3 linked regions of the Lytechinus pictus genome follow. The protein of the gene in region 3 binds, or shares a complex with, the protein of the main gene of each other region. Links are inferred from orthologs where the notes say so. Each region holds a gene or a part of one and is shown on either strand. Other genes may lie near its edges.

What was found. The genes of interacting proteins can lie anywhere in the genome.
Region 1: mediator of RNA polymerase II transcription subunit 23-like (region 3) and mediator of RNA polymerase II transcription subunit 31-like share a complex: the UniProt entries of both Drosophila melanogaster proteins name them as parts of the mediator complex. The link is inferred for Lytechinus pictus from reciprocal best matches to the Drosophila melanogaster genes MED23 and MED31.
Region 2: mediator of RNA polymerase II transcription subunit 23-like (region 3) and mediator of RNA polymerase II transcription subunit 16-like share a complex: the UniProt entries of both Drosophila melanogaster proteins name them as parts of the mediator complex. The link is inferred for Lytechinus pictus from reciprocal best matches to the Drosophila melanogaster genes MED23 and MED16.

The regions. Positions count from the first base shown.
Region 1 is NC_087246.1:17,367,031-17,375,163, reverse strand, and holds the start of mediator of RNA polymerase II transcription subunit 31-like, read right to left. Parts: upstream 3,360-8,133; 5' UTR 3,352-3,359; coding exon 3,264-3,351; intron 2,964-3,263; coding exon 2,867-2,963; intron 1,342-2,866; coding exon 900-1,341; 3' UTR 1-899. UniProt on the Drosophila melanogaster protein: Component of the Mediator complex, a coactivator involved in the regulated transcription of nearly all RNA polymerase II-dependent genes.
Region 2 is NC_087257.1:27,440,757-27,448,458, forward strand, and holds the start of mediator of RNA polymerase II transcription subunit 16-like, read right to left. Parts: upstream 3,360-7,702; 5' UTR 3,207-3,359; coding exon 3,157-3,206; intron 1-3,156. UniProt on the Drosophila melanogaster protein: Component of the Mediator complex, a coactivator involved in the regulated transcription of nearly all RNA polymerase II-dependent genes.
Region 3 is NC_087261.1:120,779-129,142, reverse strand, and holds the start of mediator of RNA polymerase II transcription subunit 23-like, read right to left. Parts: upstream 3,392-8,364; 5' UTR 3,297-3,391; intron 1-3,296. UniProt on the Drosophila melanogaster protein: Component of the Mediator complex, a coactivator involved in the regulated transcription of nearly all RNA polymerase II-dependent genes.

The sequences.
Region 1 (8,133 bases), on a different chromosome or scaffold from region 3:
AGAAAAGATAGTTTTGATGCATAACTTGTCTGTACAAAAGGGAAATAAAAATATATAAATCAAAACCAATTTCAAGTATCACTCATACATTTTTATTAATTTAATTTGATCATCACAATTCTTGGATTAACCTCAAGATTTAATTCAGCTGAGTAGCCAAAGATTTTTATTTTTTTTTAAAGGACAAACAAGAGTCATTATTCAATTCAATACCATAATTTTTTTTTACCAAAACTTGAAATAGGCTTAAACAACAGATCATTGTAGATGCACCCTGTCAAGTGCTAGGATGCTGTCAATTCAGCAATTTGGGGACTGGGTGATATTACTTTCTATAACAGAGATTAAGTGCAGGGATCAGAAATATAGCAATATCTTGTTGAAAACTGAGTTTACTGTGTAGAAAAATACAACATTTAACTAAAATTGTAGCTTTTTTGGTCTCTGAGGTTGCTTCAGCTATAATAAACTAAAGTATGTTTGCACTTTAATATAACTAAAGATATTACTACTCCAGCTTTAGTTCAATTAATCATCATCAATATGATTTGTCCATTCAATGAATAAATTCTACCAGCAGAACCATCCAAATGTGTACATCACCTGGGTCATGTGGACAAATTTCTTGAAGGAAATTACCATCCTGGAGTGGGTGTACACTTGCAACCCTTAGATTGAAAGTCAAAAGTCTGAACCACTAGACGATGTGGCTACAATAATTTGGTTGAACTGTAGGAAGTAATGCAACTTAGCTCCACTTGGTGTTCAATCTTTCTTCCAACAACGTCTTTAAATATCTTCTTCTGATATTCTCATACAAAGAAATTCCATAAGCTAACTTCAGCGGCTAGGTATTAGCCATCACAGAAGAAGCATAAATGGGATTGTATTCTTAATTATCATTTCATTGTTTGTTGTGTTGTAGATCCTTGTTGTAATGGCTTTTGTTCTTGTTGACCAGTTCTCATTTGTGAAGCCATTTGTTGATGTTGTTGCTGCTGATGTTGTGAAGCATGTTGCTGCTGTTGTTGCTGCTGATGAGGATGTTGCTGAGGTGGCAAGGGCGCTTGCATGATCCCTGCTGGCTGATTTGAAGTCCCACTTGTTGCCACTCCGCCGGCAGCTCCTGGGACTCCTTGTTGCTGCTGTTGCTGGGTGAGTTGTTGATGTTGCTGCATGTTCTCTAGATGAGACTGTTGTAGTCTCATACGCCTCCGAGTGTAGTGTTGCCAATGCAGAAGCTGCTGATCCTCAATAAACTTGACACACTGTGCATTGGCTAATTCTCTCCTAAAGTGTTCATACTGCAACAGCTCCAAGAAATGAAGACATTGTGGAAATCTAATACCAAAACAAGTAACAAATGGATCACTTTAAAAAAATCAATCAATCAAGTATTACATACACATTTAAAGGGGAAGTTCGCCCTGAAGAAAAGTTTGTTGTAAAAACAGCAGAAAAAATAATAAAAAATATTGGTGAAGGTTTGAGGATTAAAGATAAAGAAAGTTATTAGAATTCAAAGTTTTGGATTTGTGACTTCATATGCGTGCAGCATTTCTACATAGCGAATGGTAAAAAATCAATGAATTTCAAATTTTTTATGGTTCCTGATGACTTTATTTTGTTTTCTATTTATGATTGGGTGTGAAATGATTTGTCTATTGATATACAAAAGGCTCAGTAAAACCATTTTCAATTTTCTGAGAAAATGACATTTCATTGATTTTTTACCATTCGCTATGTAGGAATGCTGCTCGCATATGACGTCACAAATCCAAAACTTTGAATTCTAATAACTTTCTTAATCTTTGATGGATTATCTTCAAACCTTCACCAATATTTTTTATTACTTTTTCTGCTATTTTTACAATAAACTTTTCTTCAGGGTGAACTTCCCCTTTAAGTCTTCAAAATTCAATCTCTAATGTGTTGGTATTTACTTAAGACCAGATAACGCAAAAACATGTGCTATTTAGTACCTCTGCTATTTCGAACAGGGACTGATTCCTGTAGTCCTTTAGAGATTTGACTTTAGACACGCTCACCAGTATACATGTGTATATCTTTCTAGCACCACTTAATTTTAGCAAATTCAATTTTATTGACTCATTTTGATGCACAAGACTTTCAAACAAGCCTGGAAATTATATGTAAATAGTAGTTACTAAGCTAATGTCTGTATACTGAATTCAGTTCTAATTTGATCTCTGGTATAAAGTAATATTTCAAATATGTATAGCCAATCATGACACAAATCTCTCTTAAACAGATTCAATTTGTCAGCTTATTTCACACTCAGGCCATTCAGACCTGTCTGGGAATAATTACTAAAGGTTTCCTTCATCATTAATCATAAAGAAAGAACTCTGAAATATACTCAAGGATCACTTTTTTATCATTCTAATAATATGACAAACAACACATTTAGGATTTTATGTTGTGAAAACCTCTATTACGTATCCTCTCATAAAAAGAACACCTAATCTTGTGATAGACTACATGTAGATATGTATTAAAGTCATGGGGAAACTGTATGTGTGTGACATTACATAGCATTAGTGATCTCAATATTCAAATGCTCATAACTTTCTTATCATTCATTCAAACTTCCTCAAGCTTTCTGTTTCTATTTCTTAGAGTTTTCTCTTTTCTATGAATTCAACTGGTTTCAAGGGTTTCATTCTCTTGAAGGAATAGCACCATATATTGTGCTGGAAAAAGTATCAATTCTACAGTAGATTTTCCAAATCATATTCAATGAGTAATGGTATAAGCATACTTCTATGGGTTAAAAAAAAAAGAAAACAAAGAAAGTTGATTTGAATAAGTCTTAAATGGATTACAATCAAACTCTGATTCTTACTTGAGATATTTGGCATACTTAGGCTCCTTCCAATATTGAAGATACTGAAGATAGTTAACAAACTTTTTATCTTTGAAGTAACCTCTCTGGGCAAGAACTGTAAAATGAAAGAAAAATATCAGAATAATAATTGAAGATAAGGGATGTACCACAACGTATAAAGATTTATAACAAGTATTCTATGAACAATTGTGAGAATTCCTATCTCTTTCATTGCATATACTATTAACACAATATCAAAAGGATTTTTTTTGTTTTGTACCGTCCCAAAACAACATGGTTCAATAAAATATGAAGAGATTGTAAGGATTTTTTAAGTGTAAGCCAGTATTCTGAATTTGAAGAACATTTCAGGAACTGCATTAAGAGAGTAGAGGTATCTACTATTCATACTTACAGTTAAGATAGTGAGGGTTGGCTAGGCACTGAACAAACTCCAATTCCACTTCAAATCGGATCTGCTCTTGGTCTTGTGGAGGTTCCATTCCTTTATAAGACAAATATACAAAATAAGAATAAAGATGAAGCTGATTAGAAAATACACTTAATGTACATCTACTTTTATGATACTTAAAATTGATTTTCATTTGGCGTTACAGCTAAAAAAATCTCAAAATATATAAAAAAATTTACTTTCTTTTGACGTTATTATAGCAATATACTCTTTTATGTTGACACTTGACAGTCCTCCTTTGTCTTTTTTCTCCTTGTTCTACAAATACATTAAACTATCTAATGTACACTTGTACAGTATTGTAATGCAAGTACAGTGACTCAATAAAAATGGAGTAACTCTCACGCATATATATTATGCACTTTTGTATGTGTGTGTGAATTGTTTGCAGACATCTGCCGCCCTTTATATGCGTCTCGTAGCTTAGCTACCAACAAAGAGGACAAGATGGCCACGTAAACATCGGTAAGTTTGATCTCATCTTCTCATTATAATTTTTTTTTTTTTTTAATGTTTTAAAATATAATAAATATTGTATAAATGTCGGAATGAAAGGAGGAGAGCTAGAATGAAAAAAAAAGAAAATAATGGAAGGAGAGAAAGAACGAAAAGAAAAAGGAGAGGAAGGGAGAAAAGGAAGCAAAAAAATAAGGAAAGAAAGAATGAAGGAAATTTAAAAAGGAACAAGAAGGAAAGTAAGAGAAAGAAGGAAAGAAAAAATTAAGAGAGAGAAAGGATCAGCCTGGAAAGAAAAATAGTAAATAAAGATAGAAATTAGAATAAAAAAGGGCAAGCAGGAAGGATAGAAGAAAGAAGGATAAAAAAGAAAGAAAGAGGAAAAAATTCAAACTTCAAGCAACAAAAATCCAATCATCTAACAAAAATCATATTTGGTGTTTTTTAATACATTCTTACAATTTTTAAGAAATAAAATGTTTTAGAAATGAATAAGATTTAAAAGTGAAACATTGTCAAACTTAAAAATTAGATGAAATAACGGTGGCATCATACACAGGCATCTCCCATCTCATTACAAGTTCGCACCGATCACAACAAGACTCAAAATGAAAGCTGAAACAACTAGATCTAGTTATTTGTTGTTCCTCCCGATTCTCAAAATTTCCCGCTAAATTTGTAATTATTTTGGTGGAGAAACTGTTTATCAGGTGATAAATAATTTGGAGGGAGAAGACGTGTTTTTGCTTTGCTCTGAATATTGTCAACAAATACTTGGAAATACTTTGAAATGACTGCTTCATTTTACATTGTGTGAAAGCTAATTGGACACCAAAGCCAGTGATGTGATTTTTATTGTTTGACTTTTGAAAACTGCGACGTTATCGTCGGTAAGAACATTAATTTTCGTCAATTTTAATATTCAATCTTGTTTGAAAATCAACATCACGCGCGAGATACTAACGCGCATCACTAAGACGCATATGACTTTACGCTAAAAGGCATCTTTGAAGCGCAACATCCATCTCCATCCATCTCATCCAAATCAGGTCGGGTCAGTGTGACGTCATCGATAAACAGAGTATGCCAGGACCTAAGAAAAATCAGTCCATAACGTTCGAAGATTTCATTGAAATCAAGTCTGAACTTCAAAAACTAAACAAAACACTAACATCACAACTCAATGAAATTAAATCTGGTCAAGATGAACTTCGAAAATCTGCTGAGTTCTTCAGCGATAAAGTGGATGAGCTCACCTGCGAGGTGAAAAGGCTGAGTAGTGAGAATGCTTCTATGAAGAAAGAAAATGAGGATCTGAAAGCAAAGATGACGACACTTGAACACCAAGTGAATGATTTGGATCAATATCACAGAAGGATCAACTTAGAAGTGGCAGGTGTTCCTGAGAAGGAAGGTGAGAATGTGAGGGAGGCTGTCCTTCACGTCATGAAGAAAATTTCACCAGAGGTATCCAACGACGACATTGATGTGACACATCGACTTGGTCAGAGAAGAGAAGGTGGTCCAGCCAGACCAATCATCGTTAGATTCACGACCAGAAGGATGAGGGATACTCTATACTCAGGCCGGAAAAAACTGAGGGAAACATCAACCCGTCAACTGGGATTCTCAAGAGATGAAGGAAAGGTGTTTCTCAACGAAAATCTAGCCCCAGCTAAGAAGTCTCTCCTGAAGAAGGCAAATGACGAGAGAAAGAAGGCGGGATACATGTTCTTATGGACAGTGAATGGCACCATTCTGGTGAGGAAGAGCCCGAATGTTCCACCGGTTGCAATTCATCGAGAAGAGGATCTGAACAAAATTAAGTAAAACTCTCTTACGCATATATGTTTATATTATACTGGTGTTTTATGTAAATAATGATTGACTTTGATATGATTACGAACATTTCCAATGATTCCAATGATGTTATTAATGATATTGGAGCTAACAATGATGAACTTAAAATTGATTTAGATCCAAATGATGGGGCTTCGAGTGTCATATCCTCAAACTACTACACTCAGGCTTCAGCCAAAAACATTTTCAAAGGTTTACCTTCTTCCTGCTTGTCTATTTTGCATCTAAATATCAGAAGCCTTAACAAGAATTTTGAACAATTTCGTTTATTTTTAGATAACTCAGGTGTTCCCCAAAATACAGTAATAGGTTTAACTGAGACATGGCTGTCAGATAAATATATTAATATGAATGCACTCCCAGGTTATGATATACTTACAAATAATCGTGTTGATAAAATTGGTGGTGGTGTTGCAATTTTTGTGCCGAGTCAATTTGAGTATGTTATTATTGAAGACATGAATTTAATGAATGAAACTGCAGAAACTTTATTTATTGAAATTAGTGATCGTGATAACAGAAAAACTGTATTGGGAGTTGTTTATAAGCCTCCTCGCAGCAATAGTGCTGATTTTCTAGACACTTTAAATAATTTACTACATTATCATTCTGTTCAAAACAAAAGATGTATCATAATGGGAGACTTTAACTATGACCTGTTAGCGAGTGATACTAATATTTTTGCAAATGACTTTTTAGAGACATTCCTTTCTGCCTCCTTTTTGCCACTTATTTCTCGACCCACTAGAATCACTAATACTTCCGCAACTCTGATTGACAATTTTTTCTCCAATATACGTTCAGAATTTAAAGCTGGTATAATTATTTCAGACATGTCTGATCATTTCCCAATTTTCATGTATTGTTCTAATCAATATCAGCCAAACAAACTTCCCGATTACGTATCTAAGAGGCGTGTGTATAGTGATATAAATATATCTCGTTTGAAACAGAGTTTAGAAGAAGAATCTTGGGATGATGTATTTAGTACAGAATGTGTTGACAAGTCCTACGAAACATTTATTGATATCTTCATGAGTCATGTTAATGAAAATATTCCTTTTGCAAAGCCCAAGTCCAAAAATTATAAAAGATCACCCAGACTACCTTGGATAACAAATTCAATTCTTCGTTCGATAAATAGAAAAAATCGATTATACTATAAATATATATCAAGATTAACTGAGAATACTCGGAGCCAATATACTAATTATAAGAATACACTTACAGGGGTCATCCGTACTGCTAAAAAGGCATATTACCATGATCAATTTAATCAATGCAAGAATGATCTTAAAAAAACATGGAAATTGATCAATTCTACCATCAATAATGGACCAAAGTTTTCAAAGATAACTAAGCTTATGCATAATGATTCTATTATTGAAGATAAAGTTCAGATGGCAAATATTTTCAACAATTACTTTTCACAAGTTGGATTTAAGCTCTCTAGAAGTATACCAACAAACTCCCATTCATTTCATCAATATCTGGGGGATAGAAATCAAAGTTCTATGTTTTTCTCTCCTACGAACGCACAGGAGATAATTAAAATTATATCTAGCCTAAAATCAAATAAAAGTGCAGGATTTGATAACATTGATAACAACCTTTTACTAAAAACTATGAATTATATAATTGACCCTCTTATTTATATATTCAATTTGTCATTATCATCGGGAAATATTCCAAAATCAATGAAAATTTCTAAGATAATACCAGTCTTCAAAAAAGGTGATAGTTCTTTAGCAAGTAATTACAGACCGATTTCATTGCTTACAAACTTATCTAAAATTCTTGAAAAATTGGTTCACATACGAACCATATGTTTTTTTAAAAAGCACAACATCCTATCCGATACTCAATTTGGTTTCCGGGAAAAGAGTAGCACTTCCCACGCAATACTTTCTTTGGTTCAAACAGTTGCCAAAGCTTATGACAAGTCTTCGAATACGATTGGTTTGTTTTTAGATTTTTCAAAAGCATTCGATACAGTTGATCATAACATTCTCCTTTATAAACTTTCTCATTATGGAATAAGAGGGGAACCACTAAAGTGGTTCAAGAATTATCTAACCGGGCGTTCACAGTTCGTTTCACTTGATTGTAATATTTCTGAACGTAAACCTGTCCTTTGTGGAGTTCCACAGGGCAGCATTCTTGGCCCACTTTTGTTCATTACTTATATAAATGATATTGATATGTCATCTAGATTGCTCCAATTTATACTTTTCGCTGATGACTCTAATATATTTCTGTCGCACCCCGACCCAGAGCAATTGACGCAAATATTCAATGACGAACTAAAAAATGTGTCTAATTGGATAACAGCTAACAAACTCTCTCTTAACCTAGAAACAAGTGGAATGCCTCTGGCCGTCTCACCTGCATCACGCGATTCAATATAGCAGCAGTGCTGATTTTGAAAACTACTATAACTCGCGCAAGATGTTCAGTGATACTTGGTTACTCGTATTTCCACGTTTTATGAACTAGA
Region 2 (7,702 bases), on a different chromosome or scaffold from region 3:
GACTTGACCTTTGAGCTTTGAGGGCAATATGCAACACATTTGTTGAATCGGAAAATGACCATCCCCAAGCCTTGAAATAAGCGGGCGCTGAGTGCAAATTCGCGCTCATAAAGCCATCAATTGCGCCCATAAAGCCCCAAAATCATCAAAATTTTGACGACCGGGCGCAAATATTTTCCCGGTAATTGCGCCCGCCGTGAGTGAGCAGTGAAGCCATATCATACATGTAATTTAAATATCTTAAAAGCCAAAATCAAGTAACTTTCAATTTACGATAAACACAGTTTAAATTGCCAAGTGCGTCTTTTTTTCTGTACCATAAAAAGTGAGCTACGTCCGTCTTTTTTTTTCTGTAATACATGTGCGCGCGTGCTTCCGGTAGCGGTTTTTCCATACTTCACCATATGCAATTTCTAATGCACACATTTCCAGTTGGGATATCACAATTCTGCGATATAGTAATTCCAATTGCACAGGAGATAAATCCGTTAAAATCCCTGTTCACAGCACATACGATGTGCGAGTCTTTTATCCTCAAAGTCGCCGACTTTGCTTGTCAAAACGGAGCCTTAATAATCCAAAATCACTTAGCTTATAGTTGTGAATTGTAGCTTTTTAATTTCTTTCTTGGAGAGAGGTAAATATCAGACAATAAATCATCAAACAAGGCTCCATCTAAAAAAAAAAAGAGGAGGATGCTGTGCACTTGAGTGTGGTGTTAGCTAGCCAGTTTGAGCTCATGTTCTCTGCCAGAGCTCTGGGTGAGAATTCTATCAGTAATGGCCTAAGTGATGGTGATTTTCCGTTTCAGATACAGTTTAGATTTCATGTTAATTTTTGAAAACTGTCAAAAAACTTTATGATTTCTTCATTGTGATGAATATTTAAGTTATTAATGAATACATTTTCACCGAATTTAGACTCTCCCAGAATGAAAGGCATTTTCTGTGGAGATCTGCGTTTTCAAATAACTTGTGAAAAACTTAAGGTACATGAACCTACAATACATGTACATAGCCTGTGGCTATGTGCTGGAATTTGAATAGACTGAGTTAGATATTGATATAATTTCTTCATGTCTTTAACATAATTTATATGCAATCCAAGTGCACCTCACAGTCACACTCACCCACACCCGTGATTCTAACCATGAAAAAAACCTTAAAAATTATTATTTTTTTTCTAAATTTATTATTTTTTTATCTGAATTCTCTTTCTCCATCTCTCTCTTTTTTATATTTTCATTTTATTCATATTTTTTTTTTTTTGGGGGGGGTTCATTGTTCGTGGTTCATTAAAGATGAAAAATAAATAAGCCCATGTGTGTGTGGTTGTAAAGGGGATGTGGAGTGAGGGTGTCAAAACACACTTAAACATTTAAATCTGATTTCTTAAATGTTTGAATAAGCCTAATACTTAGCATGCTATTCATGTACTAATTAAAAAATTGTAGGAGCTGCGCTTACTATAAACAAATTTGCGGTGTGGTTCACTTTTATATATATTTTTTCTAAATTGCCCCCGGTTCCTGTAAAAAGCCTGTGAGCCGGGGGCAATTAAAAAAAAAAAATTGATCCCGGCTCTCAGGTGCTTATTTCAAGGCTTGGCCATCGCCCAAAGAAAAAACCTTCCCTAATTCATACATCAGCATCAAGAAAACGTCACCTGAGAAATAAAAGATAAAGGCCGAACAAAAATTGATAATATTCATGAATTATGCAAACAAAAAATCACTTTTAAAACACAATTTTGTTCATCCATTTACCCATTTCATATTTTCAGCATCAAAAGACCTTTTCGAACTCGGAATCATGCTCGAAAAGAGAGAAAATTGATGTTTCATCGAATAGCGACGATATGAGGGAGAAAATAAAACCCGGAAGTAAGATCCCACAAAACTTAATATTTTCAAGATGGCGACTTTTTTGGGATGTACGAGTGAAAAGATCGTCTCTGTAAAATTAATGGACCTCAAAGTCAAACTCAAGAGTCAAGACACATGATGTAAGTTTTAAATGTAATCGTCTGGCATAAAAAATTAAAATTTATTTCCCTTACTCCTTAGTCCTTACAGTTACATACCATTCTTATTTTTAAAAAAGTTTGAGTGTTTGTCGAAATTATGTTATTGATCTCACCAATTTAACACGGTGACAGATACGAGAGTGTCGTACTCTCGAACCGGCTGTGATAGCTGTGATAGTTTTAAATGTAATCGTCTGGCATAAAAAATTAAAACTTATTTCCCTTAGGCCTAGTCCTTACAGTTACATACCATTATTACCATTCTTATTTTTAAAAAAGTTTGAGTGTTTTGTCGAAATTATGTTATTGATCTCACCAATTTAACACGGTGACAGATACGAGAGTGTCGTACTTTCAAACCGGCTGTGATAGCTAAATGTTGGCAAATCTGAAGTTACTTTTAACATAGGCATTCGTGCTTTCTTAGCAGTCAGGTAAAACAACCTCGGTATAACTAGCCAGGCGGCTTCTAGAGAGTAGAAATCATTTACTAACGTAAGGTCACTCTCATGAAGCCAGGGCTTCCGTCATATACTTTTGTGTGTACCACCAAAAAACCTGAAACTTTCGCCCCCGAGATTTCTACTTTCTTTACTTTCGCCAACGTTACAGACGCGTGCGTTCGGGTAACGTTGGGGAAGAACAATAGAAAACAAGATGGCGGCGTAAACATCGGGCAAGTCTCTTTCGTCTTTACACAATATTTCTCTCATTTTTTTGATGAATTCTTGTTAAAAAATAACAACGAGAGCGTAGAAATGTCGGAAATAAAGTTTTATCCCATGTACATGATTTAGATTTTAGGGCTAGATCTTTTAAAAAGAAAGTAGAAATCTCGGGGGCGAAAGTTTCAGGTTTTTTGGTGGTACACACAAAAGTATATGACGGAAGCCCTGGCTTCATGAGAGTGACCTTACGTTAGTAAATGATTTTTACTCTCTAGAAGCCGCCTGGCTAGGTATAACATAACATAACATAACATAACATTAACAATAACATGTTCAATATCTAATTCACTGACACAAATATGAACGTATGGGTCACAGAAATGACATTAACAATAACATGTTCAATATCTAATTCACTGACACAAATATGAACGTATGGGACACATTGAACAAGTTCTCTCACCAAACATTAGCGTCCGTTTTCGGCCAGTCAGCAACAAATGCAAGCTCCATCTTCCCAGTATCCAATGCTTCTCATTAATTTGTAAAAGGAACACTTGATTTGAAAGGTTCGCAAATTTTGATTCACTTTTAGGCAAAACTGCAAAATTCAGGCTGCTGCAACCAACTCAATATTCATCAACGTAGATGGCGCTTGAGAGTGACGCGTTTTTTGTTTGTTCAAGGCAGTTTTTATTGTTTTTCTGATTTCTTTCAATATTCGCAATGCACCCCGAAGAACAAAAAAAAAAAAAAAAAAACAACAACAATAATAATAATGAAAAAAAAGAACAAACATAAATCATATATCAAAAAATAGAATTGTAATGTACTCCTCCTCTAATTTTCTTTTTTCCTTATTTTCTTTTTGCATCCACTAGAGGATTCTAAAACCTATACTTCTAACTTTACTGTTCTGCTCTTTCCACAGCTGTGAACATTGCTGATTCAGCATCTACTGGATAAAGACAAACGGTACAAGAACCCATTTATGTTCACAGCTTTTGTGTTCAAACCTGCCTAGCTACCACCATGCCTACCGTATGCTGCCCAATTCCAGGCTGCGACTACGCCACGCCGGATCTGGATGCCTCTATTGTTGCTGCCCTGCTCACGACCCACTCCACAATTCATGCCTCTGCTGGGACAGGGTCTGCTGCCAAGATAGAGAAGGTCAAGAGGCCCACCATAGTTGCAGCCGGTACAAGCGAGGACTGGGCTTACTTCACTTCTCGATGGTCCGATTATGTGGAGTCTACCAAGATATCTGGCAATTAAGGACAAGGTCGTGCAACTCCTTGAATGCTGCGATGAGCCTCTTCGCAAGGACCTTATACAAGATCCTCTGGCGTCAGCCTCACCACCAAGTCTGAAGCAGAGGTGCTGGCGGCAATCAAGAGGCTCGCTGTGCGTGAGGAAAACACCATGGTAGCTCGAGTGGCGCTACATAACATGCGCCAGGACCGGGATGAGTACAGTCCGCAGCTTCGGGCCCGCTTACGTGGTCAAGCAGGGATCTGTAAGTTCATCATTAAGTGCCCTGGTTGCTCTATGGATGTCAACTACACTGATGAGATACTGCGGGATGCCCTGACCAGGGGAATCGCTGACCCCGAGATTCGATCAGCTCGACCTCTTGGGGGACAAGAACCAGACCATGGACTTCCCAGGACCAAAATCCAATTGAAACCAGTTGGATTTCCAACTGGTTTCAATTGGTTTCAATTGGTTTCAATTGGTTTTAACTGGAATATAACAATTTCCAATTGAAACCAGTTGGGCAACTGGAAATCCTAACTGGAACCCGTTGGGCAACTGGAAATCCTAACTGGAACCAGTTGGGTAACTGGAAATGACTTCCAACGGGAAATGATTTCTAACTGGAACCAGTTGGGTAACTGGAAATCCTAACTGGAACCAGTTGGGTAACTGGAAATGACTTCCAACTGGAAATGATTTCTAACTGGAACCAGTTGGGTAACTGGAAATCCTAACTGGAACCAGTTGGGTAACTGGAAATCCTAACTGGATCCAGTTGGGTAACTCAGTGGAAATGACTTCCAATTGGTTTCCAATTGGAAATTTTCCAGTTACCCAACTGGTTCCAATGAAACCAGTTAATTTGCATATTATCTGCCAGTGTGCACAGATTAATGTTTTATGTGATTCATCATCATTTAAAATGTATATATTTAATTCTTTTCTATTTCAAGTACCATACTTGTTTCAGATAAGTGTTTAGAATGCTTAGCAGTGAAAACCATGTTCATAAATGTTATATATTATAATTAAAACAGATTATAAGATAATTAGTACATCACTAACTGTTACCAAATTACATCAAATACAAATACATATATTTGAAGATCTTTCTTGTTATATACATACATTATGAAAGTCTATTTTATCAATGCACTTAACAATGGTATTATAGACATAGAGCACTGCTTCTTTGTTGGCATGAGCAATAGTTAGTGCAAAATCTAATTAATTTGTAACTAATTAAGTCATTCCAACTGGAAGTTCCAATTGGATTCAGTTGGAAACCAATTAGTTTCAACTGGTTCCAGTTGCCTCCAATTGGTTTCAACTGGAACCAATTGAAACCAGTTACCTCCAATTGGATTCAACTGGTTTTAATAGGGAAATTGGAACAACTGGAACCAATTGAAACCAGTTGCCAACTGGTTGCTTAATTGGTTTCAACTGGAACCAATTGAAACCAATTGCCAACTGGTTCCAGTTGCCCAATTGGTTTTAACTGGAACCAGTTGGCAACTGGTTTCAATTGGTTCCAGTTGTTCCAATTTCCCTATTGAAACCAGTTGGCCAACTGGTTTCAATTGGTTTTGCTCTAATTGGTTTCAGCTGGATTTTGGTCCTGGGTTAGAAGATGTCTTCCAGTTCATCGAGGCGAAGGAGGCTGGCAAGCGTTCTGCTTCATCCCTCCTGGACTCTCACGTCGTAAACTCCGCTAGCAGCTCATATCGGAAAACCAATTAAGCAAATGCACCTCAAGGAAGGCCAAGACTTGTGTAACTACTGTGGCAAGAAGGGACATGGACGGGGTGCCCCTGCTCACGTCCGTAAGACACAATGTGATGCCTATGGACACAAATGCAGGCACTGTGATAGATTCCATCACATGGAGAACGTATGCCGAAGCAGGGACAAACCAAAACGTCTCCCTCCGGTGACCCCTGAGGAACAGGAGAATGCTCTATTTGACTCCTTTTGCTCTGTTCATGGCTATGATCACTCCTGCGGAGGCCATGGCATTCCCCTTGATCATCACGTTTATGATAGCCTTAACCAAGCATGGATCAGAAGGAAGTCTTCCCCGCAACCCTTTGTAGATGTGACTGCTCTGGTTGTCCCTGATGACTATGAAGCTCTTGGATTTCGGCTCTCCTCCCCTACGATGCCTCAATCTACCCCTGCTATGGCTGACACTGGGTGCAGAGCTGCTTGGCCGGCATGAAGATAGTTCGCCGCCTTGGATTACGTCAACGGGACCTCATCCCTGTTAGTATGAAGATGCGGACTGCCACTAAAGGGGGCGTCAGGATTCTTGGGGCCATTCCATTGTGTCTGTCTGGCACGGGTGCCCAAGGCCGTACCGTCTGGACGAGACAGCTTACCTACGTCACAGACAGTTCTGATCAGCTCTTCCTCAGCCGGGAAGCCTGTGTTGGCCTTGGAATCATCTCAGATAGTTTCCCACAACTGGGTGCGACACGAGACCCGCCCCTGTCGGACGCGGCTGCAGTCCTTGAGGGGCCTCATACAAGACGTGCCTGCCACTGCCCTCAACGTAGATTGCCCCCACCGCCTCCCACCTCACTACCTTTCCCGGCAACTGAGGACAACCGTGCCAAGCTCCAGCAGTACCTCCTTGATTATTACAAGAGTAGTACGTTCAACACTTGCGAACACCAACCACTGCCCCTGATGGATGGCCCTCCCATTAAACTGATGGTGGACCCCGATGCAGAGCCTATCGCACATCACACCCCCGTGCCTGTACCACTCCACTGGCGGGATGCAGTCAAGGCAGGGTTAGATCACGATGTTCAGCTGGGTGTGCTTGAACCTGTACCTGTTGGTGAGCCTGTCACTTGGTGCCATAGGATGGTTGTGTGTGCCAAGAAGAATGGCAAACCGAGAAGGACTGTCGACTTCCAGGCCCTCAATGCTCATGCAACCCGCGAGGCACACCACACTCAATCCCCTTTTCTCCAAGCGAGGTCAGTTCCACACGGCAAGAAGAAGACTGTCTGTGATGCTTGGAATGGCTACCACAGTGTACCCATCTGCCAGGAAGATCGCCATCTCACAACATTCATCACACCCTGGGGTAGATACCGCTACAAAACCGCGCCTCAGGGATACATCGCTTCTGGTTACGGCTACACCAGGCGATACGACGAGATTGTATCAGCCATCCCATACAAGACAAAGTGTGTTGATGACGTCTTACTCTGGGCGGACACATTAGCTGACAGCTTCTTCCAAGCAGTCGAATGGCTAGACATCTGTGGTAGGAAAGGGATCATCCTCAACCCTGCCAAATTCACACTTGGCGCAGATGTTGTCGAATTCGCAGGATTTGAAATCACTACTGACAGTGTCCGGCCATGCCAGAAATACCTGCAGGCGATCCTTGATTTTCCAGCACCGTCTAATATCACTGATGTGCGGTCATGGTTTGGGCTTGTCAACCAAGTATCGTATGCCTTCAGCATGACAGAGAAGATGTTACCATTTCGTCAGCTCCTGAAGCCCAGTACGCCATTCGTGTGGACTACTGCCCTCCAGCGTGCCTTTGAAGACTCCAAGGCTGTTATTGCCGGCGAGATCGAAGATGGCGTGAGGATATTTGACCCCAGCAAGCCGACCTGCCTGGCAACGGACTGGTCTAAGGATGGCATTGGCTTTTGGCTTCTGCAGAAACACTGCACCTGCGATGGCACTATCCCCTTCTGCTGTGTCACAGGTTGGAAGGTAAC
Region 3 (8,364 bases):
CCAAGGCTATTAATTCCTGTGTTAAAAAAGTTAGTGCACGCGAATTAAATGTTGGACCTAAATTACTAGATCTTACCATGGAGCTCCATGACGAAATCTGTTCTTAAATTAGACTCTAGATATTACTAAATTGAAAAAATGTATAAATAGTACTCGCCTGATCTTTTCTTGGGGTATTGAAGCCTTTTTGTCCAGAACTTGCTCAACTTTTGCGGCAAATTTTGTCGCCATAGGGTTGTGCACATTCTCGTTTAATACTGGTTATCACGTGACACGGCAATGTCGTTAGGCTGTTTGGCCTGTATTCAAGGCGTTCTATCCGTTATGATTTTATATTGAATGAAGCTAATTCCATCAGGTATAGGCCCCTATCAAGTCAAAATCGATACAGGGATCGAGAGGGGGGGGGGGTGGAGCCAAAAATTTCCCAGTCACATGGTATGAAAATAATATTTTTTATGATTGTCCACGATCATTAGGGCAAACCCGTGTGTGGCAGTACGGTAGCGTGATGAGTAAAAAAAATAAAAAATAAAAGAAAGAAAGAGGGCCAATGTAGGCATACATGGCGCGTGGGAATAAAGTTGCTTTATATGTTCCAAGCGAGTGAAGCAAGCGAGAAAAAAACTTTTCGTGCAAATCTAAATTTGAGATAGATATCTTAACTTACACTTTTCCTTTTCTTTTCATTAATTCCCTTAATTTCTTTTTTATCTTGGTTGTAGAACTTTCGGGGGCCCCTAGGCCTAACCCTTCCATCGTGTACCCCCAGTGCAATATCAGCAGGTGGGTCTCGATAACTCTGGATATTTAGCAATTAGACCTATTTATAGAAAAACATAACGTTAATGTTTTGACCCCTTCCCCCCAAAAAAAGGAAAAACAATTATAAACTAAGTTATATACATCCCCCTTTTCTCATTTCGCTTTTTATTTTCTCTATTCCCTCCTTATTTTTTTTTGGGGGGAGGGACCTTTTCGGGGGGCACCGCCCCTAGCTACGCGCCTACCAGATGAAGAGGCGAGCGAGCAAAACCTTTGTCACTTTTATTACAAATATCAATTTTGCAATAGATTTTGACATAACATTCGGAATTATTCTCGCATGCATTTTTCTTTCCTTTTGCTTTTTTATGGCCTTTTATTTCTCTTCCCTTTCTCTTTCTGTCTTTCTTTCTTTCTTTCTTTCTTTCTTTTCCTTCCTTCATTCCTTTTCTCTTATCCCGTTTTTTTTTGGTGAAATCCAAAGTAAAATTTGACAACTCCCAAAAAAGATTCTTACTAAAAAAAAAAAACCGGTCATTATATTGTCTTGCGTAAAGTTTGACAAGTTAAAAAAAAATGGTCACTCAAAATGAAAGTCATTTTGTCCGCGTAATATTCGGCAAGCCCCCCCCCCCCCCCACAAAAATAAGAAAAAAAAAAAAAAAAAGGTTTTAACTATAGCAATGATCGAAGGTCATTTTGTCTCGCGTAAAATTTGACAATTTTTTTATAAAGTTGTCACTAAAAAGAAGGTCATTTTTTCCACCATTGATTATATTTGGCAAGCCCCCAACCCCCACCCCCATAAAAAAAAGTTTGTCCCTAAAAGTGATGTATAGAAAGTCATATTGTTAATTTGTTCCCAGTAAAATTTTGAATTTGGCAATTAAAAAAAAAGGCAAAAAAGAGAAAAGAATATGAACGAAATATCCCCATTACAAATAATGCTGTACGTGATTCTCATGAGGGGGGGGGGGGGGCACCCCATAACTAGTATTAATAACATATTTAATTCCAAAATGTTTACTATAAATCTCAAAAGGGGGAACGGGCAGAAATGCTCACCCCCCCCCTCCCCCCCCCCGCCACTGATTCCAATCAATAATGACTTTTCTCTGCAATACTGATGCTTTGAAATCAAGATACTGAAGATTGATACGCTTAACATAAATTATGAACGTCTGACAAAAAGATATCCAACCGATCACCTGACCGATCAGCTGACCAGTACGCGTATCACTTCGGAGTTGATCACTCGTCGCAGCTGTGTGGAATGCTCACCGAAAATCAACAAAAAGGGCCTGAAATGTAAGTTTAACAATAATCGATTTTAATTTCAACTATTTTTACAACTAAATAAAGGTTTGCCGTCCGAATGAAAGGTATATCGGATAACTCTAACTTGTATTAAGGTGTACATTTACCAAAGTCTTGGGTTGGAAATCAGAACAGCATTGTCCAACCCATAATTTGGGTAATGTCGCCTATGAGGTCCATACATCTTAATGTTTGGACCTCATTGGTATGGTTGGAACTACCCCTTATCGACCACCTAATCTTCTAAGCATCATATCTGCGAAAATATTCATCAATTTTACCCAGTTTTCGTCTCATTTGTGCAGAAAATTGAGCAGATCAGATTCCCATGTTTCGCTCGGCGACTCCGATTCAATTTGCGTATATATCGACGATCAACGAATGCGACGATTTTCCATTTGCTCATTTGCACCCGTCTTTTGAAACCGACCACCCGCGGTACACTAAGTTTACGGCCGATTCTTGTCGCGGTGGCGAAATATTTTTACTCTTTCAAATCAGTTCTATGAGTGACGTCAACATGCTAAATGATCGCCTCACTACTTCCACTGCGAGCTCCGACGCATGATTCGACGATTGACGACGGATATTTGTTCTAAAGCCGTTTCCTATCGGATTTCTTGGTTTTTCAGCGGGTTTTGGGTTTGGTCAATACAATTTTGATTAATTCTACTAAATCTTTACTGTTTGTTGCTTCTTTTTTTCTCGTAAAATCGATTCTTACCGTTTCTATGGACACTGCGCCTACTCTCCCGCGCGTATCGTTTGTAATACGCAATAATTTTAACGCGCGCAAGGTGGTCGGTTTCAAAAGAGGTGGTCTTACCATACTAGGAGTGGCTATAATCAACTTCATACAAATGAGAACTTAACACAAATCTCACGCGAGAACGATCCGAGAGCTTTGCATTGCTTGAGCGCACAGATTAGACTTGCCCGCGAGCCGTTCCTTTCGTATTTTTGTGGATTTTGGCGGAGCAGTGGTGTAAATAAAAAATACGCGGCCCGGGTGGGGGGTGGACACTCATACAAAACAAGCAACTCGAATTTTCAATGCACGATTTTGAATGAATGGGACTAAGAAAGGAGTTGAACTTGAAAAAGTTTCATTTTTTATTTAAAGATAAAAAGTACAGACCACATACCGGTACCGTAAGGTACGTGAATCTATGTTACGCCTCAGTAATAAGAAATTACAAATTGTTGGAACTCACATGAACAAAAGTAAAAAGAATCTGGGCTGGAAAAGTCGGAAAACAAAGACGCTTTTCGCCACTGCACTGCCAGCGCCACCGTTGAACTTCGCCTCATAAACATACACAGAATTGAATTACTATAGCGCCATCTTCGTTGGATCCGAGCTCGGGCCGTTTGATCTTGTTAAATTATAATTAGAGGTGAGGTGAGAATTACAAAATTATACCATTTAATAACCCCTTTTGAATATCCTATTCATCATATTTTTTTTTCCAACTCATACATGTCATATGGCTATTTGTACTCTCGAAAATCCATATCCCGTTTTATTCCAGATGAGGTGGGAGTGGAGTGGCCCAATTTTACAGCCCCACACATGCTTTTTCATGTTGTTATAATTATCTAAGTTTTAACTCTTGGTCTTAAGTTATTCTAAGTTATCTAACGTTAGTTAGGTCCTGGCCACTCATCCTACGAACGAGGTTATAATAATGGCGCTGGCCTACTCTCACTAACTTTAGTGTCTCACTCACACGTATTGCGAGGTTAGTAAGTATACTAATTTATAATTACTATTTCTAACCTCGGCCTCGCACTGTCTGTGAACATGGTGAACATGTCTACGAAGTACGAGACTACGGCTACGCAAACCAAGCATGCCAAGAGTTGTCTGTTAACATAGCTTCATATAACGCGAATAATTGTTAGCCGAAACTAATTCCGCTAGATATCACCAGGGGCCTGTTGCATTGAAAGGGTCTTTCGTAGAACCATTCTACGTAAGAACGAGATATCGCTCAACTGTTTCACAAAGGCGATTTGGGCGATACAAAGAATGGTCCTTGGAAAGACACCTCCAGACCACTCACACATATTGCGAGATTCAATTCAATTCAATTCAATCATGGTTTATTTCGTATAAAAACAATACATGTTACACAGCCAGAAGGCTGAAGTTAGCATGTTTACAATAAAATGTTCACAAGTCATGGATAAAAGCAACAATTACAATTTAAACATGTACTGTAATGTACATAAATAATAAATAATTTTTAAAGAGCAAGTGTACATAAAAATTCATTAAATATAATAAAATAGAATGGTAAAGAAACTATGTAAATACAATATTAAAAGTGATGAATATTAGACAATTAAAAATTCAAATATCAATTGGATTGAAATGGAGACTAAAACAATGGCAAAGATTTAAGTTGACTTCAAGGGTATGAAAGTAGAAATTTATTTAGAATTTAGTAAATCAATGAAATAAGGTATTGCACTTTTTCTAAAACGATCTGTTTTGCATTTTATCTGAGCAAAGTTTGGAACACTTCTTAATGAGATTGAGATATTTTTTCTTTTTGGTAGCCAGTTGTTACAGTGAGGGTTTTTTAAAAGAGATTTAGCAAATTCCATACACAGTTTTTTTCGTCTTCTTTCAAGACATTCTAATCCACATTTTGTTAGTGCATCTTCATAGTCTATATAATCTGAGCCAAGAATTATTTTGCAAACTCTTTTTTTGTATTTTTTCTAAGTCTTTTACCTGTTTAGCAGTTAGTGCTCCGTTGAATACCGGTACACAATACTCCAATATTGGACGAATATATCCAATGTAAATTTGAACAAGGTCTGACATAGGGAGTTTATATTGTTTGACAAGTCTGAACATATACAATTTTTTGTTACACCTTTTTATAATATCTGAAATTTGTTTATCCCATTTTAAGTTTGACTGAATATAGACACCAAGTATTTTAACAGTTTCTGAATATTGCAGAGAAGTGTCACCAATATGCAATAGATTAGGTAATGGTGGATTTTTAGAAAAAGTAACTCTGATTACATTGCATTTATTCGGATTTAGTTTCATATGATTATCAGATGACCAGGTAACGAGTGCATTGAGATGACATTGTAATACAGAAGGAGTTTGTATTGAACGATTTTCAACTATAGTAAGATCGTCAACATATTTAAAGTGCGGTAAAGATTCATTCTGACATGCATCATTAAACATGATCAAAAATAATATCGGGCCTAATTTTGTGCCTTGAGGCACTCCAGCATGATTTTTAATATACGACGACAATACACCCTGATATTTAACAGATTGAAAACGATTTTCTAAAAAACTAACTATCCACTCAATTATGCAAGGTCTTACGTTAAATTCAATTAATTTTCGAATCAGAATATTATGGTCAAGTCTATCGAAGGCTTTGGAAAAGTCTGTGCAAACAATAGTGGATATTGATTTAGATTTTTCACAGTTGTCCAATACACAATGCAATAATTTTACCAAATAATGGGTAGTTGACAGACCTTGTCTGTTTCCGTATTGATGAATGTCAATATATTTAGAAATATCTTCCAATAACCATTTCGTAATGAATGATTCTGCAATTTTAGCGAATTGACATGTAAGAGATATAGGTCGAAGTTCTTTAATATTCGGTGGTTTTGACTTGGGAATGGGAACAACCTGACTTCGCTTCCACTGCCAAGGTACTAACCCTTGTTGAAATGATGTATTAAGGATATTGGCAAGAGGATGGCTTAGTTCACAAGCGAATTCACGAATTACACGAGGGGGTAAGTCATCTGTTACACCTGCTTTACTGCATTTTATTTTCTTTAGCATAGAATAAACCTGATAAGGTTGTACTTCTGGGCAAACACAAGGAGAAGGTAAAAAAGCTGGTAAGCAACTTCTATCCAACGGCGCCAAATCTGATGCTATATTAATTAAATGTTTATTAATGGTATCAGCAGTCTTCTCTTGACGATCTTTATCATTAGGTTCAACACCAGGTACAGCAATTACGTTAGATGTGTTGTTCTTTTTTGTAATAATCTTGATTTGTTTATACCAGTCTGCTGGATTTGTTGATTTAAGATGAGATACACGTGTGTTATAATAACGTTTTTTTGCACTTTTTATCATTCTATTTACTTTATTTCTGAGACTACGCCACAGAGGTTTGTTATTCTTCTCAAAAGCTTTTTCTCTTTCAATTATGATTGCTTTTATCTGTGGTGTCATCCAAGGTTTGTCATTATCCAAAGTTGCTGATGAGTTGCTATAATATGGAATGTGTGTACCAAGATATTTCAAATGTTTGATTTTTCCCTTCAATAATGAAACTTGTGTAAGTATACTGCAGCTAACATACACAGTTCCAGTGCAGGTAGAATAGTATACTAACATGTCCTACGTAGGCATGATCTTCTTTGCACACCGCCCGCCACCGTCGGCATTGAGAGAAAATGCGTTTACGGCAAGCCACACTGACATCACCTTTAAACATTTTTTGGTTTGTTTTTTTAGAGCAACACTCTAACCCACACGTGAGCAGCACGCTGGCCATTTGCAGTCTACTGCCCTGCCGGTGCAAACTTCAGAAGGTTCAAGAAGGTTCATTGATTCATTTTATCTGGGATGGTGCCAAGTTATTTTTTATTGGGGGCTAGTTGTCATCAATTTCAGGTCGTCTTTTTGCATGGCAAGACGACCGAAAACGGATGTCATTTTAACTTCTTCGGGGTATTATGTCCGGGGGTAATGTAGGCCCAAATATTTTTTTTGAATATGTTTTCTTTTATTCTCCCCTGTCCTATCCCCACACCATTTCCATTAATTTTTTTTTTGAAATATCGAAATGGGCGGCACTATCTCTCTGACCCCTCATGCTGTCTCTTTATCTATTAAACAACATGAAAATAAATTTCTTTAAAAGAAATTAGGGCCTATATAAGGTAAAAAACGTGTTTATAGCGTTCAGCAAAAAAAAACACGATACAAAACTAAAATGTTAATGGTAAATCATTTATTCATTTTTATTTCATTTCCATTATAATTATTATTTTTTTGCTGAGATTAATTTTAATCAATGAAAATTAATTGTCGGATTTGGGCTAACTTGGGATGTGAAACAGTGAAACAAAACAAAAAATCTGCAGTAACAAAATAGCTAATTGAATTTAAGACACAGATTAGGCCTATAGCTTACGAATCCATCGCAATCATTACAAATGAAGATAAGTTCATTAAAGAAAAGATTATGGAAAGTAGGGGAGACCGGGGTTAGTTGGAACATTTTGGACAAAAATGGCTGTAAAATCCAAATAGGCCTAGACTTTATTTGAGAAACAATCAATATATCAGCTTGAAGCATATATCTAAGGGCTTCAAATGTACCCCATAAAATTTTTAAATCTATGATGGTTACTGAAAAAAAATCCACCTTGAAAAAGACTATCGCAAGCGTTCCAACTTACCCTACATCGGGGTAAGTTGGAACATGGTATGGGGTAAGTTGGAACACTGCATGGTCAATTAAGAATTATACTTAAACTACTTACAACCGTAATATTACATGGTTTCAGCATATTTGCTTTATTTTTTTCAAGTTCAAAATATTAAAAGTGGATTTGTTGAACTTTATGTTTTCTATTATACAGCCACTCATGCCAGCCAACTGTGTAGTAGATTTCCGCTTATTTGTGTGCGTTTGATTTTACATGCAATTAAGTGTACTATCAGCAATTTCTTGTACTTCTGCATCAAAGTTACTTGACAAAAATTAACTGTTTATATTATTTATTAATTAATTATGCAAATAAGCATATGAAATTTGCCCTATTAAAATTTTGTATGTTTTTGCCTTTAAATCAATTCATTAAGCTAGTAGAATGCTAATTTTTGGTGAGAGTATCAATCTTTACCTTTATAACAAATATCCACAAAAACTTGCAAAAAATATAATTTTTTATGTATTTTTTATTTTTTAAACTTGTATTTCTTTGTTTTTTCGAACCTTTGTTTTTTCCGATGAACTTTGTCGGGGACTCTTTTGCGATCATTAATAGCATAAAATAAATCCATTTGAACCAACAAAAATAAAAATAGTCATACATTTATGATTTTTGATTGAAAAACACAATTTGCATTGACCTTGTACACGGAATCACATTTTTGAGCAATTTTGGGTCCGACCTGCACGTACAAAATGTTGCATAATTCCGAAAACAAGCACCCAGGCATCGCAAATTTGGGCTCGAAAGATGCGCAAGACTTGACAG